Arabidopsis thaliana: one gene and its partners. The main gene of each other region encodes a partner of the protein of the gene in region 2 in a complex. Each region holds a gene or a part of one and is shown on either strand. Other genes may lie near its edges. The genes, in order: NRPB2, NRPB4 and NRPB3.

The links.
Region 1: NRPB4 (region 2) and NRPB2 share a complex: the UniProt entries of both Arabidopsis thaliana proteins name them as parts of the RNA polymerase II complex.
Region 3: NRPB4 (region 2) and NRPB3 share a complex: the UniProt entries of both Arabidopsis thaliana proteins name them as parts of the RNA polymerase II complex.

What each region holds. Positions count from the first base shown.
Region 1 is NC_003075.7:11,531,062-11,543,957, reverse strand, and holds NRPB2 (DNA-directed RNA polymerase family protein), read left to right. Parts: upstream 1-1,552; 5' UTR 1,553-1,757; coding exon 1,758-2,006; intron 2,007-2,782; coding exon 2,783-3,004; intron 3,005-3,106; coding exon 3,107-3,397; intron 3,398-3,507; coding exon 3,508-3,705; intron 3,706-3,796; coding exon 3,797-3,861; intron 3,862-3,964; coding exon 3,965-4,051; intron 4,052-4,128; coding exon 4,129-4,249; intron 4,250-4,344; coding exon 4,345-4,389; intron 4,390-4,481; coding exon 4,482-4,619; intron 4,620-4,752; coding exon 4,753-4,825; intron 4,826-4,990; coding exon 4,991-5,067; intron 5,068-5,145; coding exon 5,146-5,253; intron 5,254-5,339; coding exon 5,340-5,456; intron 5,457-5,548; coding exon 5,549-5,704; intron 5,705-5,785; coding exon 5,786-5,890; intron 5,891-5,973; coding exon 5,974-6,099; intron 6,100-6,192; coding exon 6,193-6,270; intron 6,271-6,363; coding exon 6,364-6,459; intron 6,460-6,548; coding exon 6,549-6,664; intron 6,665-6,739; and 13 more. Other genes in the region: AT4G21720 (defensin-like protein), read right to left, coding at 59-162, 372-425, 1,322-1,397; AT4G21705 (Tetratricopeptide repeat (TPR)-like superfamily protein), read left to right, coding at 9,141-9,374, 9,457-10,701; AT4G21700 (DUF2921 family protein, putative (DUF2921)), read right to left, coding at 11,114-12,896. UniProt on the Arabidopsis thaliana protein: DNA-dependent RNA polymerase catalyzes the transcription of DNA into RNA using the four ribonucleoside triphosphates as substrates. Second largest component of RNA polymerase II which synthesizes mRNA precursors and many functional non-coding RNAs.
Region 2 is NC_003076.8:3,090,809-3,100,149, forward strand, and holds NRPB4 (RNA polymerase II, Rpb4, core protein), read left to right. Parts: upstream 1-5,374; 5' UTR 5,375-5,467; coding exon 5,468-5,516; intron 5,517-5,694; coding exon 5,695-5,803; intron 5,804-5,943; coding exon 5,944-6,021; intron 6,022-6,169; coding exon 6,170-6,203; intron 6,204-6,298; coding exon 6,299-6,367; intron 6,368-6,484; coding exon 6,485-6,562; 3' UTR 6,563-6,834; downstream 6,835-9,341. Other genes in the region: EMB2107 (26S proteasome regulatory subunit, putative (RPN5)), read right to left, coding at 32-228, 322-378, 463-567, 655-762, 1,337-1,531, 1,624-1,626; AT5G09910 (Ras-related small GTP-binding family protein), read left to right, coding at 2,464-2,557, 2,808-2,899, 2,997-3,138, 3,204-3,508, 3,591-3,644, 3,736-3,863, 3,938-4,124; ABCF2 (ABC transporter family protein), read right to left, coding at 6,835-7,035, 7,137-7,265, 7,355-7,456, 7,532-7,687, 7,762-7,941, 8,023-8,163, 8,233-8,574, 8,648-9,341. UniProt on the Arabidopsis thaliana protein: DNA-dependent RNA polymerase catalyzes the transcription of DNA into RNA using the four ribonucleoside triphosphates as substrates. Second largest component of RNA polymerase II which synthesizes mRNA precursors and many functional non-coding RNAs.
Region 3 is NC_003071.7:6,731,796-6,741,663, forward strand, and holds NRPB3 (DNA-directed RNA polymerase family protein), read left to right. Parts: upstream 1-1,738; 5' UTR 1,739-1,865; coding exon 1,866-2,314; intron 2,315-2,568; coding exon 2,569-2,806; coding exon of another isoform or gene 2,807-2,851; exon of another isoform or gene 2,852-2,961; coding exon of another isoform or gene 2,962-3,009; exon of another isoform or gene 3,010-3,414; coding exon 3,415-3,687; 3' UTR 3,688-4,024; downstream 4,025-9,868. UniProt on the Arabidopsis thaliana protein: DNA-dependent RNA polymerase catalyzes the transcription of DNA into RNA using the four ribonucleoside triphosphates as substrates. Component of RNA polymerase II which synthesizes mRNA precursors and many functional non-coding RNAs.

The DNA of each region.
Region 1 (12,896 bases), on a different chromosome or scaffold from region 2:
TAGATACGGTTCAGTCCATTTCTCTTTTTTGAAGAAAAAGATTCATTGTGTGAATTACCTCAGAGTATTTGGCATCTCCAGGAGAACGATCTATAACAGCAGTCCATGGTCTGTCTTTTAGCACAGGATCTTTGTAGCAAATTTCACTGCAGTCTCCTACACCTATAGAGAGTACACTACTATTACACCAATTCATTAACTTGGAAACTTAAACCTGAAAAGCAGAAGATACTCTTCATGAACATGTAATTTCGTTATGTAGGAGACAAGCTTGGTTTTTATGATGTTCCATAGTGAGGACAAATCTAACCGCTCATCATTTCATCAACAGTTTCGTTACAGATTACAAAGAATTAAAAAGAAATGCTTACAATCTTCCCATGAGTCACTATCGGCATCACATCCCTTTTTGCAGAATACTCTCCCTACACAGATTCAGGAATTACATTAGTGCTATGGAAAAAATGTCATACAACAACATGGAGGATAAACACTGATGCTAAAGCTGAAAAAAAACCCAGATTGCTATGGAAAAAATGTCATACCAAGCATAAGTTCAGCTAGCTTTTGTGCCCATGAATGAAATTCAGAGATCAGAGAATGAAAAGCTTTCATCAGAAAGACAGAAACAGCCAAACCAAGCCCTTTAACTAGCTTAAGCATACATATATGTCAATAGTTCATAGAAGCAACATGGATACAGAAGCATCTTTGATACCGTTACTTTGACTCTCTCCCTTTAAATTTCTTTCAGTTCATAAACTACAACTTATTATCTTCCACTTTCTCCTACTAATTTAACCATTTTCTTAATTACATGATAGAAAAGCTCTAAGAACTCTGCATAATCTCCCTTACTTGTAATCAATATAAATGTTGCCGATTCTTCAATCTACATTATTCAATTACGAGTCAAGATGGATGTTCTTAAATACTTGCAACTACAACTATAAGTTGTCTCTGGACCAATCTAACCAAAGAAGCGATTCTTGACCAAAATGTTTAGTATAATCGTAATGAAGTAGAGTGCACCAACAAATAATTAGGGTTTATGAATCAAGAAATCAATCAACAATCCAATTTACAGATCCCAATTTCAATTCCAAACAACAACAAAAAGAAGAAACACTCGGAAGACTAAATTGACTTTTGAATCAAGAAATCAATCACCAATCCAAATCAGAACCCAATCTATCAGCTCCAACAACAGATTCTTATCATCATCATCGAAAACTAAACCATCAAAAAACAACGGACCACGAACATCAAAACTCAAAAACGAATCCGATTCACACAAATTAAGAGTCCAGATATTACATACATGGAAGCTGCGTAAATGCTGAGTACTTATTCGTGCATTTGCTCCCACACGGCGGCGTCCATTGCTGCGGTATCATCTCTCTCTCCCTTCCTCCGCCTTCACTCTCCGTCTCTCTCTCTCTTCTTCCGAAAATATCGCTGACGCCACAAAAATGTAGCCGGAGACTTTTCTTTATATAGTAAGGGTGTTTCCGTCATTTAACAATCCAAGCTCTCTAACAACCAAACCGATCCTTTTTATAATCCCATTTAATCAAACCGGTTATTGATACAAACCGGTTATTTCCATAAACTTAAGCCGACTTCTCTCTCTCGAGCCTTTATAAACTCACAATCTCACAAAGCCGTCTCATTCTCTGCGTCCTGTCTCTCTCTTTGTCTCCGAGAGCTCGAGTAGTGAAGTTTGCTGTGCTCTAATCTTCAGAGAGTGAGAATAAATGGAGTACAACGAATACGAACCTGAACCTCAATATGTAGAAGACGATGACGATGAGGAGATTACCCAGGAGGACGCGTGGGCTGTTATATCTGCTTATTTCGAAGAGAAAGGTCTCGTTCGTCAACAGCTGGATTCGTTTGATGAGTTTATTCAAAATACTATGCAAGAAATCGTTGATGAGTCTGCTGATATCGAGATCCGACCTGAATCTCAGCATAATCCTGGCCATCAGTCCGATTTTGCGGAGGTTGTTTCCTCGTTTTTGTTTTTTTCTAGGGTTTCTATGGGAATTCGAAATTATGTGCGGGTTTATCGTGTTTGTGGCGGTTTTAAAGTGTTTCGATTTGAGCTTCTACCGTTTGGGTGCGATTAGGGTTTACCTGAATCTTATTGATGTCCCGAGATTGTCTTGTTATTCAATGCTTGAGCTATATGCTGTTCAAGAGTCAAAAAATGATTTTGACTATTGATGTCCGGATATTGACTTTGAGCTGGTAATCTTATTAATGTCCCGAGATTATCTTTGAGTTAATGCTTGAGCTCATCTCTTTCGAGGAGGATTTATAGTATTGGTTGAAACTCAAATCAGTTTTGGCACTATAAAAATGAGTTTGGTATCTTTTTTTGCTGTCCCTTTGGTCTGTTTTCCTGCAGACAGTCTATTGTTAGCCCTTATCTGAGAAGCTTATCTCAATGATTTCCCATGATTATCTTTGTATTCGATGCTTGAGCTCTTCGCTTTTTTGAGGTGTATTTTCAGTGGTTTTGAATATTGGTTAAAGCTTAAATCAGTTTTTAAGTTTTGTTGCAATTAGGGTCTGCCTTTGTCGAGTAGCTAAGCTCATTGATTTTCCGAGATTATCTTTCCATTTAATGCTTGAGCTCTTCGCTTTTTTCAAAGTGTCCTTTCAGTGGTCTTTATTATCGGTTGAAGCTCAAATCATTTTTGACTTTGTGTGAGCTGAGATATAGCTGTTTTGCTATCTGTTTTTCTGTATGTCTGATATAGCTGTTTTCCTGCAGACAATCTACAAGATTAGCTTTGGACAGATTTATCTGAGTAAACCTATGATGACAGAGTCTGATGGAGAGACTGCCACCCTGTTCCCTAAGGCTGCAAGGTTGAGAAATCTCACATACTCTGCGCCTTTGTATGTCGATGTTACTAAGAGAGTTATTAAGAAAGGGCATGATGGTGAAGAAGTTACGGAGACACAGGATTTTACTAAAGTTTTCATTGGAAAGGTGTCCGAACTCAGTTCATTGTGTCACATTTATTTAGGTGTTTCCATGTACTCTACTGTTCTGATAGTAGAAATGTTTTCTTCTTGTTTGATTATTTGCTAGGTTCCCATCATGCTCCGGTCTAGTTACTGTACCTTGTTTCAGAACTCGGAGAAAGACCTGACAGAGCTTGGAGAATGTCCTTATGATCAGGGTGGATACTTCATTATTAATGGCAGTGAAAAGGTTCTGATTGCTCAGGAGAAGATGAGTACGAATCATGTTTATGTGTTCAAGAAAAGGCAGCCAAATAAGTATGCTTATGTTGGTGAAGTCCGTTCTATGGCTGAAAACCAAAATAGGCCTCCAAGCACAATGTTTGTGCGTATGCTTGCTCGTGCTAGTGCAAAAGGGGTAAGAGAAAGCTAATTAGTCTTAACTCTACTATATCCTTCCTCGAAATTTATTCTTTAAATTCTAGATAATGGTAAATAAATTACATTCTATGTTGCAAATGGATGCAGGGTTCATCTGGACAGTATATTCGATGTACTCTTCCATACATCAGAACAGAAATTCCTATTATCATAGTATTTCGTGCACTGGGATTTGTTGCCGATAAGGACATATTGGAACACATCTGCTATGATTTTGCCGATACCCAGATGATGGAGTTGCTCAGGCCTTCCTTGGAAGAAGCTTTCGTTATTCAAAATCAGCTGGTATCCACTTTTTTTTCACTTGGTTAATGACATTTTATTATGCTTGAGGAATTGATCTTGCAATCACTTGATAACTTTCATATTACTTCAGGTTGCACTTGACTATATTGGAAAACGTGGTGCAACTGTTGGTGTAACCAAGGAAAAAAGGATAAAGTATGTGATAATCTAAACCAATTAAGTTGGACATTATGATCTAAGATGTCAACTATTGAGATGTTCACACTGGAGGTTTGCGATTGCAATATTATCATTGCAGGTATGCTAGAGATATCCTTCAGAAAGAAATGCTTCCTCATGTAGGAATTGGGGAGCATTGCGAGACAAAGAAAGCTTACTATTTTGGGTAGGTATTTAACTCACTTGTAATGTTTATAGACTTAACATGTTTCTGTGTTGCTCATATTATGCTATGATCCGTAGGTATATCATACACCGGCTGCTGCTTTGTGCACTTGGCCGAAGGCCAGAAGATGATAGGGATCATTATGGTAACAAAAGGCTGGATCTTGCTGGTCCTTTACTTGGAGGGCTATTTAGAATGGTTTGTTCCCGGCACACAATTATACACTCTTGGGGATTGTTGAGTATCAGTGTTTTTTTTATCTCTTACTGACCTAACATCTTCTCTACATGCAGCTTTTCCGAAAGTTAACAAGGGATGTGAGATCTTATGTTCAAAAGGTATCTTACATAGTTACTCTTTCTCGAGCCAAAGACTTTAGTATTAAGTTGTTATTCTGTGTTTGGAAGTCTGATTCATGTTTCTTTGACAGTGCGTTGACAATGGCAAAGAAGTCAATCTTCAATTTGCCATTAAGGCTAAAACAATTACCTCTGGCCTGAAATATTCTCTTGCTACTGGGAACTGGGGCCAGGCAAACGCTGCTGGCACAAGAGCTGGAGTCTCTCAGGTTAGGATAATTCTATGTTAATTATGTTTTTGAGTTCCAATAATTTCTTGATGTATGTTATCGGGTTTACTGTTTTGGCCTATTATAATTCATTGCATGATTTATATGGCTCTAAAGACTTAACTAACAACAGGTTCTTAACCGGTTGACATATGCTTCGACTTTGTCACATCTGAGGCGTCTCAATTCTCCAATAGGACGTGAAGGTAAAGCCTCGTTCTTTTCCTGCACTTCTATTTTGTCTCTGTGTAACTGTTCGTACAGTTGGTGTATTTTAGTCATGGTTCTCTTTATTATCCACATCCTTGCAATTTAGATTGGCTTGTACTTTTGTTTATCCCACTTGAATCTAATCAAGTCTGATATGCCAGGAAAATTGGCAAAACCAAGACAACTGCACAACTCACAGTGGGGAATGATGTGCCCTGCTGAAACACCTGAAGGACAGGTAAAATTGTTATATTTATAAAATAAGGGTGTTTCGGATTTTATAGTTCCATTGCTCATTGTGGCTTTGCTGTACCAGGCTTGTGGTCTAGTGAAAAACTTGGCTCTCATGGTCTACATAACAGTTGGGTCAGCTGCTTATCCTATATTGGAATTTTTGGAAGAATGGGGTACTGAGAATTTTGAGGTCTGTAGCATTTCACATTCAATTTCTTACCCAACATCTGCCTCCTTGGTTCTTGTGGTTTCCTGAAGGTCTTAACTTGAATATAGGAAATATCTCCATCTGTTATACCCCAAGCCACAAAAATCTTTGTCAATGGAATGTGGGTTGGAGTTCATAGAGATCCTGACATGTTGGTGAAAACGTTGAGACGTTTGAGACGAAGGGTAAGCATGCAGTTTCTTTCACGTTTCCATATATGCTAGTGAAAATATTGCAACTTTATGCAGAAGTGACATATTACTTTTTCCTCTTGCAGGTTGATGTCAACACTGAAGTTGGTGTAGTTAGAGATATCCGTCTTAAAGAGCTCCGGATATACACTGATTATGGACGTTGTAGCCGTCCGTTGTTTATTGTAGATAATCAGAAGCTCTTAATAAAGAAGAGAGATATCTATGCTCTGCAACAAAGGGTAAAATTCTAATTTTTACCTGTTATCAAAGTATCTTTTGTTATAAATTCCATTGTACCAATATTTGTTTTCATAACCCAGGAAAGTGCAGAAGAAGATGGTTGGCATCATCTGGTTGCTAAGGGCTTTATAGAATACATAGACACAGAAGAAGAGGAAACGACCATGATTTCCATGACTATCAGTGTGAGTAATGAAATGAAGATGTGATTAAATGAGTTTGTGGTGCACTAATTTCTGCAGAAATCTTACTCTTATGTTTGTTGTAGGATCTGGTTCAAGCTAGACTCCGCCCAGAAGAGGCTTATACTGAAAACTACACACATTGTGAGATTCACCCATCTCTGATATTGGGGGTCTGTGCTTCAATCATACCATTTCCTGACCATAATCAGGTACCTCTGTCTAAATGACTTTTCTATCAGAAGCGATTTCATTATGTAAATTCAGTTTCATGCTAACTAACCCTTTACTTTTTGATGTATTAGTCACCTCGTAATACATATCAATCTGCCATGGGGAAGCAAGCAATGGGAATTTATGTCACCAACTACCAATTTCGCATGGTATGTTCTAGGCTCTTAATTTGTGGTCTTTCTTGTCAGCTCTTGTTACATCACTCAATATTTTAAAGAAATTATTATTGTTCTGTCAACCAGGATACGTTAGCTTATGTTCTCTATTATCCACAAAAGCCTTTGGTTACTACAAGAGCTATGGAGCATCTTCACTTTAGACAACTTCCAGCAGGAATTGTAAGTTATTTTTGCTAGAAGTTTTTCAGAATTCAGCATTGCTCGTGTATCAAATCTCTCAAATGTTTTTTTTTCTTCTTCTTGTGCAGAATGCTATTGTTGCCATTTCTTGCTATTCTGGATATAATCAAGAAGATTCTGTCATCATGAATCAGTCTTCAATAGATCGTGGTTTCTTTCGATCCTTGTTCTTTCGGTCTTACAGGTGAGTATGCTATACTTTTGGACGTTTGCCTTCGGTCTTTCCATTTATTTATACTGCAATCACGTTTGCTGACAGAGATGAGGAGAAAAAAATGGGGACGCTTGTCAAAGAAGACTTTGGGCGCCCAGACAGAGGAAGTACAATGGTAAGAAAGTAATTGACACATGGTTCATACTTCAGTGGTGCTTTTTGTAAGTGAAGTTTAACACTTGGGTTTCTGCTGCAGGGTATGCGACATGGTTCTTATGATAAACTGGATGATGATGGTCTTGCGCCTCCTGTAAGTTTATAATTTATTGTTCCTTAATTATTTATTATCTGATATGATTAGGTGACTAATGTTAGAAAGCATATCATACAATCTTTTATTTTTGGTATAGGGTACTAGAGTTTCAGGTGAAGATGTTATCATTGGGAAAACCACTCCAATATCTCAAGATGAGGCTCAAGGACAATCATCCCGATACACTAGACGTGATCATAGTATAAGCTTGCGACATAGTGAAACTGGAATGGTGGATCAGGTAACTTTGGCTTTTCCTTGCAGTTAAGGGTTTAGAAAGTTTCAGGATTGAAATATGAAACTGATCAATTCTTGTAACTTCGTGTAGGTGTTATTGACTACAAATGCAGATGGTTTGAGGTTTGTGAAAGTGAGGGTCAGATCCGTGCGGATTCCTCAAATTGGAGACAAATTTAGTAGTAGACACGGTCAGAAGGGAACTGTTGGCATGACCTACACGCAGGAGGATATGCCATGGACGATTGAAGGGGTCACTCCGGACATTATTGTGAATCCACATGCTATTCCGTCTCGAATGACAATTGGACAGCTAATTGAGTGCATCATGGGAAAAGTGGCAGCTCACATGGGAAAAGAAGGAGATGCTACTCCCTTTACAGATGTCACGGTAACTTGCATTTTCCTTAGCTGCTTAGTTAGCATTGGGCTTGGTATTATTAGTTTTGACCAATGTTGTGTCGTTAGGTGGATAATATAAGCAAAGCCCTTCATAAGTGTGGGTACCAAATGCGTGGATTTGAGAGAATGTACAATGGTCACACGGGCAGACCACTCACAGCTATGATATTCCTTGGACCAACATATTACCAAAGATTGAAGCATATGGTTGATGACAAGATTCACTCGCGTGGACGAGGTCCGGTGCAAATCTTAACAAGACAACCAGCTGAAGGGCGATCACGTGATGGTGGTCTCCGTTTTGGAGAAATGGAGCGCGATTGCATGATTGCACATGGTGCTGCTCACTTTTTGAAAGAGAGGCTGTTTGATCAGAGTGATGCGTATAGGGTACATGTGTGTGAAGTCTGCGGGCTCATTGCCATTGCAAATCTGAAGAAGAATTCTTTTGAATGCAGAGGTTGCAAGAACAAAACAGATATTGTTCAGGTAAACATAAACTGTTGTGCAAGTGGTTCATATTCATCTTTATCTCTTTCATGCTCATTTGTCTGATGTCATTTCATCTAAATATTCTCAGGTATACATTCCATATGCTTGCAAATTACTCTTTCAAGAGCTTATGTCAATGGCTATTGCACCAAGGATGCTCACTAAACACCTGAAATCGGCTAAAGGCAGACAGTGAGGAGCTTGCAATCTGATTTTGTAGAAACTTGAACTTTCCTTCTCTCTTGGTCATAGCTTTGTAACAATACTAAATTTACAAATTTGTGTAATATTTCTGTACTAATTCTTAAAGCTAGAAAGGTACCTTATAAGATATATTTATGGATTCTTTAGTAAATTTGCTGCTCCTAATTATTCTCATGGGGCATCCGTATGGGGATTCACTTTGTTTCCTTCTGCTTTCATCATCATTGTGCCTTATCGATGAGCTCAACATTGCGAAATCCATTCAATAGCTGTTTCAAACATTAATGATATCTTTTCTATGGTTTTCTCTATTCCTTCAATATTAGTAGCTGCAGCATATGCACTGAGACGAATACTAAGAGTAAATTGGTCAAAAGAGACTCCATTCTTCTCCATTTCAAGCATCAGATCATCTAATTTTCCATGCACATTCATCTGATTATACATATTCATCATACGATTGTAACAACGTGTGTCCATGGAAACACACGCTTCCTTCATGGCTTCCACAAGCTTCTCAGCTTACGATATTAGCAGCTAAGAAGACTAGAAAAGACCGCAATAATCTTTGGGAATGTTATCAAAGAAAACCTCTGCTTCTCCAAGTCCACAGACTCTTGATATCAAGTTTATGCGTGTACCAAAAGCTTGATAAAACATAGTTTTTTTTTTTTTTTTTCCTCAAAACATAGCTTTTATTTGAGAGTTAAAATGTTCAATAGAAAGATTCAGGTGTAAATTAGATAATAATAAAAGTTTTGAGGCTTAATATGCAATTATCATAAACTTTCAACCTTTATTTGTATTTTTTCATTTTTGTAAAGTCTCAATCTTTGACTATCTTCTTCGCCGGAACCGATGAATATACTGAGACGAATTCCGGCGAATTTGATTGCGAGCAGATATTACTACACTAACAGAGTAAAAAAGACGACACTTTACTCAAAAATCAGTCCTTTAGGAGACCCAAAATCAAGTGTTTACCCAGAACTCCAAAACTGGGTTCAATGCGGTAAAAAAGTCTCTGTTGCTGAACTTATTCGCATCGTTCACGATCTTCGTAGACGCAAACGCTTCCTCCACGCTCTCGAGGTAAGTAATTCTATACAAATCAAGTCTCTTTCCCTCTTTACACCGAGAAAAAAAACTAAACTTTAGAATTTTTCAAATTCAGGTTTCGAAATGGATGAATGAGACTGGTGTATGTGTGTTCTCTCCGACAGAACACGCGGTTCATCTTGATCTTATTGGTAGAGTTTATGGATTTGTCACTGCAGAAGAGTATTTTGAGAATCTTAAGGAACAGTATAAGAATGATAAGACTTATGGAGCTCTTTTGAATTGTTACGTTAGGCAACAGAATGTTGAGAAGTCTCTGTTGCATTTTGAGAAGATGAAGGAGATGGGTTTTGTTACTTCGTCTCTTACTTACAATAACATTATGTGTCTTTACACGAATATTGGTCAGCACGAGAAAGTTCCTAAGGTTTTGGAGGAGATGAAGGAAGAGAATGTTGCTCCGGATAACTATAGTTATAGGATATGTATTAATGCTTTTGGTGCTATGTATGATCTTGAGAGGATTGGTGGGACCTTGAGAGATATGGAGAGACGACAGGATATTACTATGGATTGGAACACTTATGCGGTTGCGGCTAAGTTTTATATTGATGGTGGTGATTGTGATAGAGCGGTTGAGCTTTTGAAGATGTCGGAGAATAGATTGGAGAAGAAAGATGGTGAAGGTTACAATCATCTCATTACGCTTTATGCTAGGTTAGGGAAGAAGATAGAGGTTTTAAGGTTATGGGATTTGGAGAAAGATGTGTGTAAAAGGAGAATAAATCAGGACTATCTTACTGTGTTGCAGTCGCTTGTGAAGATTGATGCTTTAGTTGAGGCTGAGGAAGTACTTACGGAATGGAAATCATCGGGGAACTGTTATGATTTTCGAGTGCCTAACACTGTGATTCGTGGTTACATTGGAAAAAGTATGGAGGAGAAGGCAGAAGCGATGCTTGAAGATTTAGCAAGAAGAGGGAAAGCTACTACACCAGAATCTTGGGAACTTGTGGCTACTGCTTATGCGGAAAAGGGTACTTTAGAAAATGCTTTCAAGTGTATGAAAACTGCCTTAGGTGTAGAAGTGGGTAGCAGAAAATGGAGACCTGGATTGACGCTGGTTACAAGTGTTTTGAGTTGGGTCGGGGATGAAGGAAGTTTGAAAGAAGTAGAAAGCTTTGTTGCATCTCTTAGGAATTGTATCGGTGTGAACAAACAGATGTATCATGCTCTTGTCAAGGCTGATATAAGAGAAGGCGGACGTAACATTGATACTCTGTTGCAGCGTATGAAAGATGACAAAATTGAAATCGATGAAGAAACCACAGTGATTCTCAGCACAAGAAGTCCATGCTAAAAGTTTCTTATTCTTCCTTGACGTGATGATACCAAAGATGTCTTCTGAGACAAGGATTTAGGAATGTGATTTCTTAACGGTTGAGTCTTCCTTCAGCAATACTTATTAGTACCAAATGTACCAAAATTTTATTTTGTTAAGAACACTCTCTAGACTCTGTTTTCATAGCATCTATAGAACAGTCTACAAGAGAATCCTCTGTTCTTTTTTCAAATGCAGTGTACTATCATATTGAATCAGCAGAAGGCAAAGTTAGAGCTTTGGCAATTTGGTTCCATTTTTATTGAAGTTTATATTCACTCTATAACAATTTGCTTTCCCACAAAACTGTAGATATTACACAACCTAAAACAGTTAAGAACAAGATAAATGAATTGTATGACAACAAAACTGTGTGTCTATATATGTATTGTCAAGAGTCATTGGTATTGTGTTGCTCACCAGCTTGTTGAAGCTCTACAACTTTCTCATATCCCACATATTCTCTGAATCTCTTTGGAATGAAACAACGACCACCGAATCTCTGCTGCAAGAAAATCAGAAACGCAAAGAGGAAACCGATGCAGAGGATAATAATATCCCATGCCGTAGAGTAATAATCCATTTTGTGGTTTGCATAAATGAATGACCAATCAAGAATCTTCCCGTAGCTGTGACTTCTATACAGATCATAAGCATGAGGAAGCAATCGAACAAAGCTGTTTCCAACGTAAAACAAAGCAGCAAGAGGCTTCAAGTCCGAGTTGCTGAAACCGTTGAAGAGTATTTGAGGAAGGAGGAATGCGTCAAGCATCAAACCTCCATAAGATTTTAGATCTTTCCACAAAGGAGGACGTTGAAATGAGCGTTTCAGGTTCACTGGACGGTATAAGAGATTCCGAGCTTGCGGTTTTCCTATGTATACTATTCTTTTAGGAGTTCTATTACGGTTCACTAACCAAGCAATCAATCCACCGGTGATGTAGAGAGGTAAACACACATAAGAAACCTTCTTCTCTGCTTTCCACACATCTTCACGGTGATGATGGTCTCCGGTTTTTCTAGCAGTCCAAGCTAGTTGGAGAAGACGGCACTCGAGTAAGAAAGCTATCAGTGTCACTATCCGCACCACAATTTCCTTGGCTTCGAGCCATCTGTCGTTCTCAAAGAACAAGTTTCGCTGGTTATGGCTGCCTTTAAAGAGTTCTTCAAAGTTTAACAGCAGAGGAATCATGTGACCTAATGTAATAAGTATCAGCATTGCAACGGAGATGAAAGGAAGTGCTTCCTGGTGTTGCTTCATATGGTAGAGTTGCATACCCAAGAAGAGACATGAAAGTGTATTGGAAACTAAAACCATAGCAACCTCCAAATCCATTCTCCAAACAGATTCTTTCGCTTGATGAACATAGATGGACCTCGACAAAACCTCCATACGTCCAACATAAAGCGGATCTGTCTTTTCCCGTGTGCTTTTGATGGTTCCCTTTAAACGGTCATCGCTTCTCGAATCAATTGGAGAAAAGTTAATCTTGATTGCAAGACTGCAATCCACAGTCTCGTTTTGTATAGCCACTGTGTTTTTTAGCCTAACTGATTGACATCCTACCATGCATAGCTCACCTGTATCCCTATCATATGTTCCCTCAGCGTAGATATCTCCACGAGATTCGGAATTTGGATTCAAAGAACGGATTCTATAAGTGATATTTGTAAAGCTTTTAGTGACACTGTTGACATTCATAGGGATTCCAGTTAGCCCAACCCCTTGCCCACGAACCAAAAGATCCCGATACAAACGGTCTCCCACAAAGTAAGGACTTGCACGGGCAGTTCTCAAGACATTACCTTCTCCAGAATATTTGACTGACATGACAAATCTCATGTCTGAAGTTTGAGCATCAGGGTAATGGTTTCCTTTCCTTTTGGGGCGACTCTTGCCAGCCCCGCATAACTTACCCACTCTCTCGCTTTCTGTATACTCATATCTCAGACTCGGGAAACGCCACAGTTGATCGTTTAGGCTCGAGAACTCAATTCTTCTGAAATAGCTTGGATCACTCTCTGCTTGGGCACTCCAAAGCTCCCCAACTACTGGAGCCATGCTTTTAATCGACAAGATAGCAGGAAATCTCAAACTTAACCTCAGGGAACAATCATCAACCACAGCATTACTCAAAGAATCCGAGAAATTCAAGATCCTGCACGCAACACCA
Region 2 (9,341 bases):
AATGTGATAGAGAAGCTCAAGAAGGCCGTACCGAATCATAAGCTCGTAGTAAATTCGCTTAAGCTCCAAAAGGGTTGGTATATCAGCAGGAGCCTCTTCTACCATGTTATCACCTTCCTTAGGTTTCTTCTTATCTTTTTTTGTATCTGCGTCAAAAACTCTAGGATTGATCTTCCTAGATAAGATTTGTGCACGAACAAAATCTTGACGATCCAAGCACAAGCGAACCTTTAAAGTTTGACCACAATAGTTTGATAGTTATCACAATGAAAGAAAACACCAGCAAATTATTAATTGCAACGTAACTACACAAGTCCTTACTTGTTCAAGGATAAATGCAATTTTCTCAGTTTTTGCCATAGCACCAAATGTCTCCACCTGTTAATTATTTATCAAATTGCAGGGGTTAACAAGGGAAGAAAATTTCCAGGAGATTTAATAGCCAAATGCACAAAATCTTACAGCAACTTCTTGCATAAGATCTGCAGCTTCAGCTATCTGACCCTGTTCTTCCTTAATCTTAGCAAGTTTCTTGGTGAGACGTGCCCTCTCGATTTCAACATATATCTATACATGTAAAATGCAATGGTAAACAATTACACAGAATGATGAAGTTATTATAAAGAATACACCATCAGTTTCATAGTTTCGCACCTTTCCAGCAGATACATTGTTCAGCGTCTTGATAAGCTCTATCCGAGTTTCAATGTCTGGTGTCTGATCGATATACTGCATTGCTTGCTGCACCATGGATTGCACAGCCTGCAAGTGGAGAAGTTCACAAAAAAAAAATCAGTGATGTTGACTTATCACTTTGTATCCTTACTTTTAACTATAATTTTGTACATGGAAAGGTGAAGCTAATTCTGTCTGAAGTAACTAGACCAAGAAAACACGCAAAGCAAAAGTAAAACCAACGAAACACTGAAAATCAAACTAAGTTAAGTAATAAACTGAACTAAATACAAACATCACTATCTGCAATGACCCAATTTAGCTTTAATATTTGAGTCAACAGTGAATCTATCAAAATCATAGAGAGGAATCGTAAAAGCAACCTATCACAGGACAACATCCCACAAAAAGAAGCTTGTATCCAACACAAAGTCGAATCCTCCTGAATTTGTGCTAATGTCCTTAATCTCTTTCCAAGATTAGGGTTACCAAAAACTAGGCCTATGCAATTCCTAAGTCAAATGTGGAACAAATCACATTCAAAACTCAAACAAAATATCCAACTTAAACAAATCCTTCAAATTATCCCAAACCAAAAGTTCATGTTCCTTAAGAGCTTAAACCACAAACACTGATAGGATATAACCAAAATTCCAAGTACCTGTTTGAGCTGACCACGTTTCTTAGAGAGATTGAGAATCTGCTCATTCAGAAGTTTCCAATCCTTAGCATCGAAACAAAGCTGAAGAATCTCAGTGGCGGCTTTCCTTGTACCGGCTACGTTTTCGGCGAGTCTCATCTGCTTCTCTTCATTCAGAAGCCGATCTATCGTTGCCTCAAGCTTCCCGCTGTCTCCCTGAAATACAAACTATGACGGAATGAGAAGATGCAAAAATTTCGAAAACGAGAAAAAAACTTAATATCAGATCTGAGTAATTGAAGACTCGCCATCGTGAGAAATCCAACGAGAATCAACTCAAAGTAGTTGAAATTCTGGTGACGGAACGACGAAGCTTTAAACTATGGAGAAAGAGGAGACGGACGAGAGAGATGAGAGAGCTTTTGGGAGTAGCTGAGCACAGATAATTCGCAGAGTTCCCAACCCCTTGAACAAGAAATCTCAGATTCTTCGGCCGATGGATCTTTTTACATGGGCTGCTAATGGGCCATTAACTAATTGTTTTGAGTCAATCAGGTTTGGTATGTAATACCGGTCTAGTTATATGGTATGGTGTTGGTTCAGAAGTATCGAACCGATCCCATTGATTGAACAAACTCACGTCGTTCGTTCTTCCGCCCAAATCTCATGATATCTTCGAATTTTCGTAGCGAAACCAGAGATTCTATAATGTCGATCGAGAACTCCCTGTCTCGAGATTCAATGGTTTACCTTGATTACTGGAAAGATCTTTTCTGAATTTTTTTCATCGAGGAGAAGAACGTTAAGGAGGAAGAAGGTGAATCTTACTTCTGTGAAACTCTTATTACGCTCTTAGAATTCGAATATTGATCCTCTTACATATTCCTTAGATTCGCTGCTTACCTCCATCAATTGTGTTAACTTCGGTATTGGTTTCGATTTGTGCTCTAGAGATTATTTGCACTAGGAAGGTGAAGGAACTGTAGCCGAGACTCTGTTTTGCAATGTGCAAGGTGATGGATTAGAATAATCTGCTTACAGCTAGGAATCAGAGTTTCGAAATGATGATTTCTGGAAGCTTCTCTTTTGGTCGAAGACGCGACTATGGGACTTAATTTCGCAGTGCCGATTTTGCTGGAGTAATCAAAATGCGGTTTTGGAGGGAACGTGGCAGGGAAAATAAGGAACATATGGTAGCGCCATTATGCGGCCAAATTCGAGTATTGGTGGTTGGTGATTCAGGTAATATTAACAAATTCTCGTTTCCATAGATTTGGTAATGGTTCTAGCTTTTTAAGTAGCCATTTAATGGAACTAAAGAAAGTTTGTCGTAGTGCACAAACTCATCCTTAAAGAAGGAGCTAATGAGAAGATTTCTCATGATGATTGGATATGAGTTTCTACTTGTGGAACCTAATAAGAGTCAAGTTTCGTAAGTCTACTACATCTTCTCCACTATTGAGCAAAGTTTTATCTCTGGATATCAAATTAGGTGTGGGAAAATCATCTCTTGTGCATCTCATTGTCAAAGGCTCCTCTATTGTTCGCCCATCTCAAACTATTGGATGTACAGTTGGTGTCAAGGTAACTTAAGCTGTTCTATAAAAAAAATTCTCGATATGGTTAAAGAGAGCATGGGATAAGTTTCCCTACTTAGTTTCTGGAACTCTCTTTGGTGCAGCACTTAACTTACGCAAGTCCTGCTAGTTCTTCAAGTATCATTAAAGGTGACTCAGAGAGAGATTTCTTCGTCGAACTTTGGGATGTTTCAGGTCATGAACGATACAAAGATTGCCGCTCACTGTTCTATTCACAAATCAATGGTCTGTCTCAACAAATGTCATCTCTGTCCCTGTTTTGTCACTGATGCGACTGTTTGATTATGCAGGAGTTATTTTTGTTCATGATCTTTCGCAAAGGACTACAAAAACTAATTTGCAGAAATGGGCGGGTGAAGTTTCAGTAACTGGGGAGTTTTCAGCTCCCCTTTCTTCTGGTGGGCCTGGTGGTCTTCCCGTCCCATACATCGTTATTGGAAACAAAGCTGATATTGCTGCCAAAGGAGGAACAAATGGAAGCAGTGGCAATCTTGTTGATGCAGCTCGTCATTGGGTTGAGAAGCAGGGTCTGCTTCCCCATAGTGATGAACTTCCTCTCTCTGAGAGCTTCCCTAGCAATGTTGGTCTCATAATGGTAACCACAGACTAAATTACTTGCTTTATTTGAATTTAGTGTTATGCGGTATGTCATATAATTTTGGTAAAATTATGCACAGGCTGCCAAGGAAGCTAGATATGACAAAGAAGCTCTGACCAAAATTTTCCATATGGTTGGTGTCATTTCTGACCTTGCCATGTTTTACAATAGCTCTCTCCCTCTCTCTCTTTCTCTTCAACCTAATGAACGTTTTTCGTTTTCAGTTGATAAGAAGAAGATATTTCTCAGACGAACTACCGTCGCCTTCTTCAGCATGGTCTCTTTCCCATGCACCTTCCCAGCGGTTAGATGAGGGCACAAGTGATGAAGATCAGTTCTATAAAAGAACAAGGTATATATATTTATCATCCTAAAAAAAATCGGATTTCTTTTCTTTATCGGGTTTTGGTCTTTTGAATTTTGCAGCCTAAGGGAAGGAGATGCTTACAAATATAACACATTACCGCAACACAATCTCATGCAGTCTCCTACACTCTATCCGCAGCAACCACCTGACCGTTACAATTACGCTATTCCGAGATTCTCTCTTTCCAGTGTAGAGGAAACCAGCAATGGTAATGGCAGGTCTAAGCGGATGGATATTAACGTCTGAAAGTAAAACACAGATCAAATCTCACATTATTTTCCTGTAATCTTCCAAACATTATCTTCTTTTATTTGTCAACACTCCAAACATAATCTAAGTATTCTTTTTTTCTAAATAATACATGATTCGTGTGATAATTATCTTAATCATGTGAAAAAAACTTGATAAGTTTTTTTTTTTTTTTTTTTTAAGTTGGTAAGTATAAGCTTGATCAGTTAGAATTTAGAATCCCAAACTAAATCGGATTGTAAACAACTCAGTTCCTTATAAATACACTCGAATCATAATTGTAAGACAAAGAAGAAGAAAAAAAACAAAGTGTTGTATCCAAACGATGAAGACAACAAAGATTGAGAGTGAAGCCGTATGTAAGCATTGGTTTTTGTATATAGCGGAGTTCATCAAAGAAAGACTAAGTGAAGCGAAACTCAAGGAATACATGGGGTTGATGAAACAATTTAGGTCCCGGCATATACAAGGAGATGAACTCATAAAGTCTCTTCAAAATCTGTTTCAAGGAGACGTGGTTCTTTCTCAAATGTTCAACGCACTTATGAAAACAGAGATCCAAGAACTGCAAGGTAACGAAAATCCGGAAACAGTCGCAAGAAAAAGAACAAGGAGTGAAGCAGAGAATGATGATGGGATTGAAGAAGGTGAAATTCGAGAGGGGCATTGCGATTGTCCTCGTTGCAAGATTGGTCGGGAAGAAGCAGAAAGGCGTAGTATACCCATTAAGAAAAGAATTTGTCGTGGGTTTTAGAAGATTTTGTTTTGTTCTTAATATCACATGTTATTCAGTTTGTGCTTTTCAAATATTTTTCCAAATTCTATGTTACTACTCAATTTATGTTAAATCATAAAATAACTTGGGTTTTTTTTAATCAAATTATATTATGATAAATTTTGTTGTTCTTCTCTATTTATCATCAATTATAAATATATTTCTAATTAATCCTGTTATGATGATATTCAATTTCTTGCAGAATATATGATTGTAGTAAACAATTTTGATCTTTTTTTGCTATTAAATCAAAAATTTATACCAACTTTATCAAAATCATTGCCTATTCAAACTTGATGATTATTATTCGGTTTATTTCAATTTTTCTCTATTACTAACATAGTAACATTTATCTAATTAACCTCTCTTCCCCAAAAAAAATCTAATTAACCTCCTTGGATTTTCCTTTTTTAATTATAGAGTTTGCTTCTTTTTTTTTATATATAACCGGTCAAAGCTTTTGTTTTGTCTCATATTCATCACTTTCGTTGTTAAGACGGAAAAAAAAAAAAAAGAGGCAGAACCAAAAAACTTTAGGGTTCGATTTCGCTCCTTGGTAATCACCATGTCCGGAGAAGAAGAAGAGAACGCCGCCGAACTCAAGATCGGAGATGGTACTTCTCTATTCTCTTCGCCATATCCCCCGCTGTGTACCTCAAAATTAGGGTTTCTTTGCCTCATCGAATTGATCTTAATTCAATACGATTTAATTGAGCTTAACTGTATCGAAAATCCCTTAATTATTTGAGATTTATCATCGAAATTGATGGGTTTTATTCTCTTTGACAAAAGAGTTTTTGAAGGCAAAGTGCTTAATGAACTGTGAAGTCTCTTTGATTCTTGAGCACAAGTTTGAACAGCTTCAGCAAATCTCAGAGGATCCTATGAATCAAGTTTCTCAGTAAGTATAATTGTGTTTCATAGAGATTCATTGTATATTAGCCATCATGAATTGAAGAATTTAGTCAGTTTTATATGTTACTTCTAGGTTAGTGAATCAATGTTGAATATTGTTGAAGAAGTTATGTTTGCTCCTTGCAGAGTGTTTGAGAAGTCCTTGCAATATGTGAAGCGATTCAGCCGCTACAAGAATCCAGATGCTGTTAGACAAGTTCGAGAGTATCCTTTTTCTGAATTAGTTTGATTCAAAGTTTTTAAGTAATCGTTGCTTTGACATGCTTCCTTCTTGATGAGTGAGATTTTACAGTCACTGGTTTAATTCTATAGTTTTGTGAGAATATGCTATTCCTTAACTCAACTTTTGCAGAATACTAAGCAGACATCAACTCACTGAGTTTGAGGTACAATGTTAAATCTCTTGAGATTGGATTTTTGTTTATCAATTAAGTCGTTTCGGTAGAAGACTTAAAACATTGCATTGTTCATTATTGAACAGCTATGTGTTCTTGGCAATCTCTGTCCTGAAACTGTTGAAGAAGCAGTGGCAATGGTTCCTTCTCTTAAGGTAAATAAAGATTCTACTTTTTCTATTCAGTGGAGATAATAAGATAACCTCAAAAGGACAAATTGTATTGTTATGTAAGTGGACTTTTGAGATGATGTAAGCTTCTCTTTTGTGTAGACAAAAGGAAGAGCTCATGATGATGAAGCTATTGAGAAGATGCTCAATGATCTCTCACTTGTCAAGAGATTCGAGTAGTGCAGAAGATTCTCAAGATCTAAGATTCTGAACATTTAGCAGGATGCTTTACTTGCCTTCTAGCTGATCTGGAGTTAATTCGCCACGTCTGAAATTATAAAGCTTTAATGCCTAGAATTTCTGGAATGATACCTTCATGTTAAATGAATGTAATTTACAACGGATGATCCAAGCTTTTAATGAAATATACCATCTCTTTTTCACTAAATCAAGTAAGGGATGACACTATATACATACTACACCTAAAGCAGCTATGTGTGAACTGTGAAGCTTTAATTCCATCTCTTGGCATTTTTGCTGGACTTTGACTTCTTTTTGGAAGCTTGAAACGCTTTCATCTTTTGCTTCTTCCGTGCTTCTCTCTCAGCCTTTGACATCTTTGACTTTGCTTTCACTTTTGGAGCTTTTTCTTCCAATTCTGCTTCCCTCTCCAGCTCCCTTGCTCTAGCTTCAACATTCTTCTCCAGGAAATACTGAGAAACAGTTCAAAACAGTTCAAAACACAACCTAGAATGAACAAATTTGGCAAAGGTCTATTTACAAGAGGAAACTAGGTTGAGAGAGATTTCATTACATTGTAGTCTCCTGCATAGTCCATTAAACCACCATCTCTGACTTCAATAACTCTGTTAACAATCTGTTTAATGAAGTATCTATCGTGTGAGACTGTGATGACCGTGCCTTTGTACTCATTTATAGCTTCCTGATGAAAGAAGGAAACAGAGAATCAGATCATACTCAACCTCCAAGAACAGTTTGGCCTATTGAACAGATAAGAGTATGGTTAGAGACCTCAAGCATTTCTTTTGAAGGTATGTCTAAGTGATTGGTGGGTTCGTCCAACACAAGTAGAGTGGATGGTTTCACCATGAATTTGCAGAAAGCAAGGCGTGCCTAAGACCGCAAGAAAAAAGGCGATGAAGAACATGATGAGTATTATATTGAGGATAATGATAGACATTATGTTACCTTCTCACCACCACTCAAAAGAGAGACCTTTCTATCCAACATGTCAGCTTTGAAGTTGCACCGACCAAGAAGAGCTTTTATATCATCAATTCTCCAATCTACAGCAGCTTCAACAACTGTCTCAATCACCGTTTTATCCAAATCTTGAGCCTCTGCCTACAGCCAAACAAATGAGTAAAACTGTATTTTCTGATTCCTCTAAAAAGCCATTTCTTCATGATAGAACAAACCTGATTCTGCTCGAAGTAGTTTGGCAATACATTGTGCTCCCCAAGTATCACCTCACCTCTCATAGGCTTCTCCAAACCCATAATAAGTTTCAGCAATGTACTCTTTCCGCACCCGTTTGGACCAATTATAGCGACTTTCTCTCCTCTTTCTATAGCTAGATTCGCCTTGTTAAATAACATCTGCTTGCATCAGAAATACAGATCAAAACACAAGCAATAAAATGTACTACCAACAGCATTTGACTAACTATATCATCTCACCTTATCATCAAAACCAAATACAAGATTCTTAACAGTGACTACAGATCTTCCACTTAATCCACATTCCGGAAACCGGATTTTCATTTGTTTCCGCTGAAATGGCTTCTCTATTAGCTCCTCTTCCTGAAGCTTCTCCAGTTTCTGTTTATATAAACACAAATTCAAGTAAGTTTCATACATATTCTCTGCTTCATAAGTACTAGTTAATACCTTTTCTGCTGAAGAAGCTCGACCAGAATTTGCTCCAGCACTTAGCCTACTAATCAAATCCTTTGTTGCTTCAATCTCTTTCTGTTGCTTCTCCCAAGCAGCATACTGAGCTTCAACCAACTCTGCCTTTGAAATTACATACTGAGAGTAATTACCATCGAAAGTCCTCGAAACTCCCATTTCGGTTTCCACAATTTTAGTACACAACTGATCAAGAAACGCCCTGTCATGTGATATTATGACCATAGGCACATCTTGCTTAATCAAGTAACCTTCAAGCCACTCAATAGTATCAAGATCCAAATGATTCGTTGGCTCATCCAAAAGCAGTAAATCTGGATTCTGTTCACAGAATCACACATTAGCGTAGCTCTCAATACAGAGTTAAAGGAATCACATTTCTCATTACTACTACCTGAAGCAAAATCTTCCCAAGTGACATTCTCATTTGCCATCCACTGCTAAAAGAAGCCACAAGCCTATCAGCATCCTCCGACACAAACCCTAATTCCGACATCAGCTTACTGATTTTAGCATGGATAGAATCCAAATCAACCTCTTGAGCTCGTCTCTGCAACAAATCGAATTCGTCTAGTAACTTTCCCATTAGTTCTAAATCATCAACAGCTTCTTCAATCGCCTTCTGCAAGTTCTCAAGCTTCCTCGCTATTTCCATCTCTTCCTTAAACGTACACATGAACTCTTCCTTCACTGTCTTCCCCATTGAAACCTCGAACTCTTGACTCAAGAAAGCAACTTTCAAATTGGGTTTGGCCCAAATCACGTTTCCTGAATCAGGTTCTTCTTGACCCGTTATGATCCTGAGCTGTGTCGTCTTCCCTGCACCGTTGACGCCGATTAACCCTACTTTTTCTCCTTTCTTCACTTCCCAAGTCACATCCTTTAGCACCGTAATGCCTTCATAGCTCTTACTAATGTTCTCAAGTCTCACTCCCGACGAAATCGAAGACGCACCATTGTTTGATTGCTTACTGATCAGCTTCCGATCGGTAGATAAGAGAGATTCGAGCTCTGAATTGGAGCTGGCTGCGGAAACGTGAGCTCTAATATTGGGGAATACTCGTCTAGGGTTAGAAACAGAGGAGAGT
Region 3 (9,868 bases), on a different chromosome or scaffold from region 2:
GTAGACAACGTTTGGATTTCTGCAAGTGGAGTGGGTACTTATTACTCTCCAGGTATTCCTGTCCTGCATGAAGTTGTTGTCAACTGTATAGAGTCCGTCTTCCTTAATAAGTATAGTGAAAGAGCTTGTTTCAAGGAACAGTAAATGGTTGTTGTCATAAAGCGTTGTCCACTCAGCAGCATTAAGCCAACTTTGGGTTGATGCTTTAAGTACATGTGCGACATCTGGCAAATATAGCATCAAAATATATTAGATTTGTAGATATATAAATAACTATCTTAGTTTTGCTACAATGTCTTCTTCAATTAGAATTTTCCAAGCATCAGTTCTATCACAAACCTTCTCCTAGATCTCCCTAGAATCCAGATCTGCTACATTCTTAGATTTTTAAATCTTGCCTAAGTGTTACAAATTCCATAGATCTTGCATTCCCTAAATCTTGATGTTCTAAAATTTCTAAATACAATGCCTCGATTTCCCAAATTCGCCACAGTATCTCGATGATCTCCTTCAAAACTAAAAGAGTTTTTAACTAACCAAATACTCAAATACTCCTAATTTGTATTCTTAACCCTTTAACCATAGCCTAAACAATACCCAATTTTTAAAATAATAAATAAACACTTACATTGTTTTTATTGCTTTCTTTGTAAACTATGAATTTTTTTTTGTATATATATATAATTTTATATAGATTTCACTATACATATGAAGAAAATTAATCAGACACATATTATTAGTTGCACTCTCATTTTCTTGGAAGTAGGAAAAATGATATAACTTGTTTAATTGTACAAACATTACCCAATTTTTTTTATTTTATTTTTGTCGTATTGTTTTGGCCGAACCATTTTCTTCTTTTATAAAATGGGAATTTTTGCATTCTATTTTCGTAGACAAAGAGTAAATTAATCATTTGTGAGAGATAATAATAAACTTTGGATGTTCTTGTCTAGTAGCTTAAAATAAAATTGAGTATTTTTGGTTTAGATAAATGTATAAATGGTGTCTAATGTATTCTTACCATTGGATGTTTGACAAATTACACATTTCTCCATTTTCTTTAGAGTAATCAAAGGGATAAGCATTGTAAGAGTTTATAACGATGGTCCTTGTGATGATCTAAATAATGCATTAGGCAGTGCTTGTTGATTAAAGAATGATGAAATCCTTTAACACTCACATGTTAAAATATTTGTTAACATCTTGTCCTTAATATTGTTAAAGAAACTTAACTAAACTTGTTAACATTTTGATTATGGGTGTCAAAATGGGTCAAAATTTATGGGTCAACTCAATTCAACTCAACCCATGAACTCTAATGAGTTCAAAATTTTGACTCAAATGAGTTGATGGGTCAAATGAGTTGATGAGTCAATTGGTTTGATGAGTAAAATTAGTTGGGTTGTAATGGTTAATGGTACTATGAGATCATTTCAAATTTTTTGATACATGGTGTTTTCCTCCCAAATATATGACTATAATATCACTAAATACTATGAGATCTCGTAGAGTTGTTGAGTACGATAAAAGAATCTATGAAAAAAGAACTTAAATAAAGAGGTATACGTTTGACAAAAAAAAAAAGAAAAAAGAAAAAGGAAAAGGTATAAAAAAAAACATTTGAGTTGGGCTTATATGGGCCTGTTTGAAATTTGGTGACATTACTTTTCGCCAAAAGAATTAAAAAGGCCCATATAGGCCCAACTTTAAACATTACTCTAATATTTATATCTTTCTCACTTTTGCTTTATTCTGATTTCTTCTCCTATCTCCTTCTCCGGCGAAGAAATTGAAAATTCATTATCCCTAAAACCCTAATAAAGGTCCAGAGAGTCGTCAGAAACCACCGATTAGCTTTTGAAATGGACGGTGCCACATACCAAAGATTCCCAAAGATCAAGATCCGTGAGCTTAAAGATGATTACGCCAAGTTCGAGCTTCGTGAAACCGACGTTTCTATGGCCAACGCTCTCCGTCGCGTAATGATCTCCGAAGTCCCTACCGTCGCAATAGATCTAGTCGAAATCGAGGTTAATTCATCTGTACTCAACGACGAGTTCATTGCTCATCGATTAGGTCTCATTCCTCTCACTAGCGAACGTGCTATGAGCATGCGTTTCTCTCGAGATTGTGATGCTTGTGATGGAGATGGACAATGCGAGTTTTGCTCTGTTGAGTTTCGGCTTAGTTCTAAGTGTGTTACTGATCAAACCCTAGATGTTACTAGTAGGGATTTGTACAGTGCTGATCCTACTGTTACTCCTGTGGATTTCACTATTGACTCGTCTGTATCTGATTCAAGCGAGCACAAGTAAGTCCCTTTTCATCATTAGATTGTTAAATGCAGAAATGTGGTGTTTCTTTTGTCATTATGAATCGATTGGAGTTGTGAAACGTTAGAGATTAAGCAATGGTGAAACAAAATTTGCATCTTTTAGCATTCCGAGGATGAAAAATACTTCCTTTCGATGGCCCTTTGCATGACTCTTCTTGTTCGTGATTGTTTGATGTTTAATTATGGTGGTTGTGTGGGTTAAAGACTCTGTTTTTGGTTTCGGGTTTCAGGGGAATTATCATTGTGAAACTGCGTCGGGGACAAGAGTTGAAGCTTAGAGCGATAGCGAGGAAAGGGATTGGGAAAGATCATGCGAAATGGTCTCCTGCAGCTACTGTTACGTTTATGTATGAGCCTGACATAATTATTAATGAAGATATGATGGATACTTTGTCAGACGAGGAAAAGATCGACTTGATTGAGAGCAGTCCTACCAAAGTGTTTGGCATGGATCCAGTCACCAGACAGGTTAGTTTTCACGTTTTGGAAGAATGCAGCTATACAAGTTTATAGCTTTGAGACTTAAATATGATTGAACTACTTTATAGACTGCCATGCCTTGAAATATATATATGTGATGTGGTTAGTGCATTTGCTCTTTTCTGTGCTTCTCTTTCTGTTAGATAGCACTACTTAGCTCTTTAGGAGAATTACGCCAGTCATCGGAATGAATCAAATAACTGCTAAACTTCTGGTACCAAACTGAAACATCTTTCTATATCTAATCACTGCAAATTATATGAATCACTTGGAGTATCTCTGTGCCAGTTGAACTTTTGTTTGTGATTTCATGTTAGAGATTTCAAATTATTCGAATGGTAAAGGGAATAAAGAAAGGAGAAGATATAGTACTTGTAGTACCTCTGTACCAGTTGAATTTTCTTGGAGATTTCATGTTAATGGTTCAGTGTTTACTAGGACTCACCACAACTGACAATTTTCCTTTGACCCGCTAGAGAACATTGTATATCATTATAACAGTTACAGTAGTTTATCGTTGGAATTTAGTATGCCATTTCTTTTGAAGTCTGTTGCTTGAATCATCACAACTGTAATTTTTATACTTTGCTTCTTAGGTTGTAGTGGTTGATCCTGAAGCATACACTTACGATGAAGAAGTGATCAAGAAAGCTGAAGCAATGGGGAAACCGGGACTCATTGAGATCAGTCCGAAAGATGACAGTTTTATATTCACTGTTGAGTCCACAGGTGCAGTGAAGGCTTCCCAACTGGTACTAAATGCCATTGATCTTCTGAAGCAGAAGCTTGATGCAGTCCGTCTCTCAGATGACACCGTAGAAGCGGATGATCAGTTTGGTGAACTCGGTGCCCATATGCGTGGAGGATGAACTCAAGTGATTAATTCGAGCTCTTTGTTATACCTGTTTGTTTCAGGTTTTGAGTTTCTTCTGGAGCAGACTGATATTAACCGTAGTGGCACTGTCTTGTTTGATAACATGTGAAGTGGCAGTCTTCTATTTGTTCTGGACCTCTGATCCCTCTGTTCCTGAATCTTGTTAAGTTTGGTTGTTGTTAGTTGTTAGACTCGCTCGTAACGAAAATAAACGCAAGGATTAAATTCAATACATTGAACAAGTATGATTAAAATGGAACAAGTATGTAGTTTAATCTTAAAATTCGTACCATTAACTGAAATGGAATGAAAGACTTTTGCATAGTGGATACCCAATTTAAAGCTCTTAAGTTCTTGAACTTCGATCACACAATAAGTTATGGTGAGTAGCTTCCCTTGGAATGAAACAAGAGACAAAAACTCAAAAGTTTTCGAGCTAATTCATAGGTCCGAAATGATGTCATGGATCTTAGATAAGAGAATTCCGGCATTGATTACTTGGACTAATTATTAACAATCAGATTCAATCAGTAAATCTCTCAATTCTGCTTCCAAAGTGGCAGTGATGACCGCTCGTATCGCTAGTCCTTACGCCATGAGAGGGGATGCCACATTTTCACGCATTGCTGAGTGGTGAGTCGAAAGTCCAGTGGTCAAATAGGTCCAGCCACAATTTTATTTTTTAAAATTATAGGCCACCACATTTTCGTAAGAAAGTAAGTATATCTATTTAGTTGGATCAATTATGGGATCGGCACATTAAAGTTTGTGCTTTTGTGGAGATAGAAAAATTTCACAGTATTCACAAATTGAGGTACTTTTACCTAATGTCGTTTTACAGTTTCATTTTTTACAACTTTGTAAAAAAAAATTTCATTTTGTTTCTTTTTTCTTGTTCCACTATTGCAGCATCGTCTACAACATATCCCATTAATAATTTTAAATCAAACGCAATAGGAGAGATACACGTCTCCGATTAATATGCATTCGTTTCTTGGATTGGCTTTCTCTCCGTAATCAGCTCAAATTCATTGGAGAGCCGGTGAATTTTGTCGCCGTCTCTTTCTTACACGACCTCCGTGTAAACAACAATTCTCCCCGCTCACTCTTCAATTCAATTTTATCGGAGCTCAAGATTGGAGCCCTTGGGTTCCATAGATACTATCTTCTTATGGTATACATTTCTTCTATGAGAGCTTGTTTAATGGAAACCATCAACATGATTAAAAGATTTGAAGTTTCTGGAAAAAATAAAGAGAAGAAGTAAAACGATGAAGAAGAAGAAGCAAGGAGAAGAAGTCAAACATAAGGGCAAAACAGTCAATTTGCGTATATAAAAGTTCCTTTTTTACAAACAACGTGAAAGTATCCATTTTCAAATATTTTTCAGAAAAAGTACCTATATCAACAATAACCCACTATTTAGTTAGTTTGATATAAATATTTTTTTAATTAAAAATGCGTTTTTCATTATCTAGAAGAGATTTTCTTATCTTGAAAACATATTCTTTAGTAATATATAATAAGTAAAAAAAACAAATATTAAAAACAGATAATATTATTAGAAAAACATATGAAAACAAAGAAAAAACTTATTTTGATTTTCTTTTACATTAAGCATGCACATAGTTGATACTCTATGAGTATCATTAACAATTTTTTAGTATTAATTTTAATATTTATTTATTGTTTGAGATTTTTTATGATACTGGTAATAAATTTGTTTCCAATGGTGAGACCGATATTGGTATCATTAAAAAAATAAATTATTTGGAAAATCAAAAAATAAATATATAAAAACTTAGGATTATAAAATTACTGCAAAATTATATCGCATAATCACGAAGAGCCTGCAAAATTACTCACTCGCAGAAAATATAACTAGTTAGCTAAAACAATAGAAAGACTATCGGAGAGAATAATAGAATTTTTTTTTTCCAGAAAAAACCAGTTTCACAGACGAATCATGAGCCTCCACATCACCCGATACTGGGTATCAAAAGAATCATTACACTGATACGGTATTAGGCCTAAATGTCTTGTCTGATTTATTAAAAACTTATTTATGGCTCTTGATACTCTAAATGTATCACCTATGTACATGGTCTTAGTTTTTGTTACTAATATTTTGTTTCGAATTTTGAGTATTATTTTTGAAATATTACCATATAGCCAATTTTTAAAAACATGTCCTAGACCAAGACTAGTCTAAGCACGGCACTAGTCCAACCTAAACTTGCTGCTTTGATATCATTCTCCAGGATGCATCAGTTTACATTTGATATCATACTCCGGAAAGAGAAGAAGATCAAACCTTCCTGCCAGTCCAGAAGAAGGATTGATCTGCGACTTTCCGACTTGAGGTTCTTGTCACTCTTTGGCCTTCTTAACCATTTAATCATGTATTTTTTAAATGACTTGAGTTATAAAGAAGCTTTTAGATAATTTTGGGCAAATTGAGAAAAGTTTCGTGATGGTGTGAAATCTCCTTCTAGTCCACATGAAACAATGAGATTTAGATCTTTGTATGTCACTAAGAAAATCTACTAAATTAAACCATCTAAAGTCTTTCCAAAATCATTCTTTCTATAACACTAGACTTTAGAAGAATTTTTTAAATTTTATGATTTAATAACAAAAAAATTATCATTTTAACACAATCCGTTTCAAATGCTTTGATTAAATAAACCCGCACAATTTTTTTAAAAAACCATTACCAATATTTTTTCGGGATTTAAAATATAAAGAAGGGTAACAATGCAATTAAGATGTTCCAACTATCACATTAAACTCATCACTTGCAACGAGTTATTCCCTTCCATAGTTTCTTAGAGAAAAGTGGGATTAATTACGAGATCGGTACATTAAAGTGTACGCCTTTATGGATATAGGAACATCTCACTGTACTTACAAATTTAGGTACTTCTACGTTATATGATGATTGTTTTACCCTTCAATTTAATTGAGTTTCATCTCCTTGTAGTACCTCTCTCTCTCTCTCTCTCTCTCTCTCTCTCTCTCTCTCTCTCTCTCTCTCTCTCTCTCTCTCTCTCTCTCTCGGCATAGAATCTACTGCCTCTAAACTCGCCATTGATGTCCATTACTTCTCCATCGCCTTACAAAGTTCAGATCTATGGACTATGATTGGCCAATCTTCTTCCTCGACGATGAAGGTGGTAATTCTCCATAGCTTCTTTGAATTTGAATTGCTGGATCTGAATCATAATTCCATCATCTCTCGCTTTATTTTAAAAGAGGAATAAGAAACAATTGAAATTTTTAATTGATTCTAATTATATAAGATTAGAATCTTTGGGTTCCCTATATAGTTTCCCCTTAGGGTTTAGCTTTCTCCCATCAAAAAGCTTTTAACTGATTTTATTGGGTTTATTGGAATTGTATGGTGATAAAGATGTTGAGTTCGTCGGAGAAGATGGAGTGAAAATTTAGGGGCAATATCGTCTTTTCATTTGCCAAAAACTGCCTAACCTCATAAGCCTAATCATAATGTGCTCTTTAAAAATTTATGGCCCAAAATGTACCCAATATTATAAAGGGTTTATTGGCAAAGTAGACACTTTTTCAAAAATAATTTGTAAAGTAGGTAATTTTTTTTAAAATTAGAGAGATAGACACTTTTTTTGTTTTTTGTGAGATAGAGAATTTGTCTAATAGACTAAAAGACAAAATACATATCAAATACTAAAATACCCTTTATCTTGAGAGTAAATAAAAATTATATGAGAAACCATTTTTACTTTATTTTGTTTGTCTTTATCTTTTTATTTTTTTTTATTTTAGTTTTCTTAAATATTAAAAAATATATATTCTTTTTAAAAAAAAATTACATTGACTTTTAGAGTATTTATCTATCATCATTATAATGCACAAACATTTAAAACATCGTTTTGTACACTAACCATTATTCGTTGGTGTACAAGTGTGTACACCGATATTTCATAAATCATCACCGACTTCTCTTATACTTATTAATATAAGTAATATTGTTTTTAATATTTTACAAACATAATGATTGTATAAACCAAATATTATTATTCAATATAATGGTGTACATGATGGTGTACATAATTAAGTTACTCTTAATGGTGTACAAAATGATTGAAATTATTATGACGATTGGTGGATAGAATGATATATACAACTTTTAAATGATAACATACAAGATTGGTAGACAAAGTGTACAAAACTTGGTGTACACTTATAGAGAATGTATAAATCATTATTTCAATTAGTGGTGTACATCATCTCGTACACCAATGTTAGTACACTGTCTCATAGATTTTTAAAGGTGTAAGATTATATACACCATATTTTCATCATCTATGTACATCATTTTGTATACTGTTATATTCAGTGTATCATTTTCTACATCAGTAATTATATATTAATTTTTACGTTATTGTTGTATACTACCATTAGTACACCAATTTTAACAATATCACGTACACCGTCGACTGAGATTAAATAAAAAATGCTACATATTTTTGAAATATAGCAAAATTAGACTTTTTAGATTCACATAAAATTTTTAAGAACTAATATGATTATGTGGTAAATTTTTATGAAGAAATATCATCAAATAAAGTAAAAATAAAAAGTAAGATTTGATTTGAGTTTTATCTTTATCTTACTACATAACAAAATAACAAAAGGTTATATAAGTCATTTACTAAAATCTCTATTAGGCAAAAAGTTGTATTAGAGAGGAAAGAGAAAAGTGTCTATTTCTCATATGTTTAAAAAAACTACCTATTTTGCAAATTATTTGTAGAAAAAGTGTCTACTTTCCAACTTATCTCTATTATAAAAGCCCCGATCAAAGTGCAGATATCAACAAAAATAAAATTGTGGAATGGGTGTATATATTTTTGTTGCAATATCTTTTATGTAATGCATTTGCAACATCTTTTACCTATACTTCTCGTGTTTGTGTGTTTACTCTCTTTTATGTCAAGAAGTGAATGTGTCAATCTCGTAACATAAGTCTCTATTTATAATTCATCGACATCTTATTATATAGCTTTTTCTCAAGTTCAAAATTGCAAAAGAGAGGAGCATGAGAAAAAAATGTCGCGTTAACGACACCAATGTCGAGAAGTTTTCAAAATCTCAATGATGACTCTGCAATGGAACAGTTTGCTACACGCCTCTCAACAAAATAGGGTAATTTGGCATCGCAAAACTGAAACACTCTATCTTTACGAAACTACATTTTTTCTTTCACTTAAATATTTGTGAGGCCCAAATTCTCTATAGTATTCCCTTTTGGTTGTTATGTTCTTAAAGAAGAAGATAATATATCGTGTATATTAGGGTGATAGCATGATAATTTAAAAATAAATTTTCACCAAAGAGATAAACTCTGTTTTGTCAAATTTCAAGTCTAATTCCTCCTCGTGACTTGGAAGTCTTTTAAGTACACAAAGGAAAGCAAAGGGGAACGATAACTAATCCTAGAAACAAGGAACACAATTAACAAAGTGGGAATATGGAGACGTGGAGCTTGATCTCCTAAATCTAAGGAACGCACTTATCAATTCTTCTTTTCTCTTTGACCATGGTTCAATCATGGTTAAGCACTTATCATAGGGATTATAGCTTATAGGTTTGTTCCTCATATGTATGTACCGCTAAATCGTTCAACTCGTGTCATACCCAAGAAACAAATCATTACAACTTGAAAGAAACCTAGTAGGCCATAGAAGGCCCATAATACATATCTTACGTAGACGAATTATCATCTACTACATTCAAGAGCACAGGGCATAAAAAATGAACCCCCACTATCACTGTCACCGACACCTATCTCTCTCACTCACTTTCTCAGCTCCTCTCTCTTTGGTTCGTTACTTCGTTACATATGCAAACTATTCACGTGCAGCACGTGATAAAGAAAGCTAGTGGCACCTAGACTAACCTTTAAGACTTGAGCTCCGTTCTTGAGCCACGAGCCTCGTCGGAGACATCGGATCCAACAGTATATTCTTGAAGAAGGTTCTTGGGTTCTTATCTGCACGCGTTTCCATGCCCTCAATAATAATACTCAAAACTTATACGTTACTTTAGTTAGAGGTCTCCGTAGCACTTCCTTGATAAAAGGCCATTTTGATATCACCTTGTTCATAAGTTATGAATCATAACTTTAACACACATAA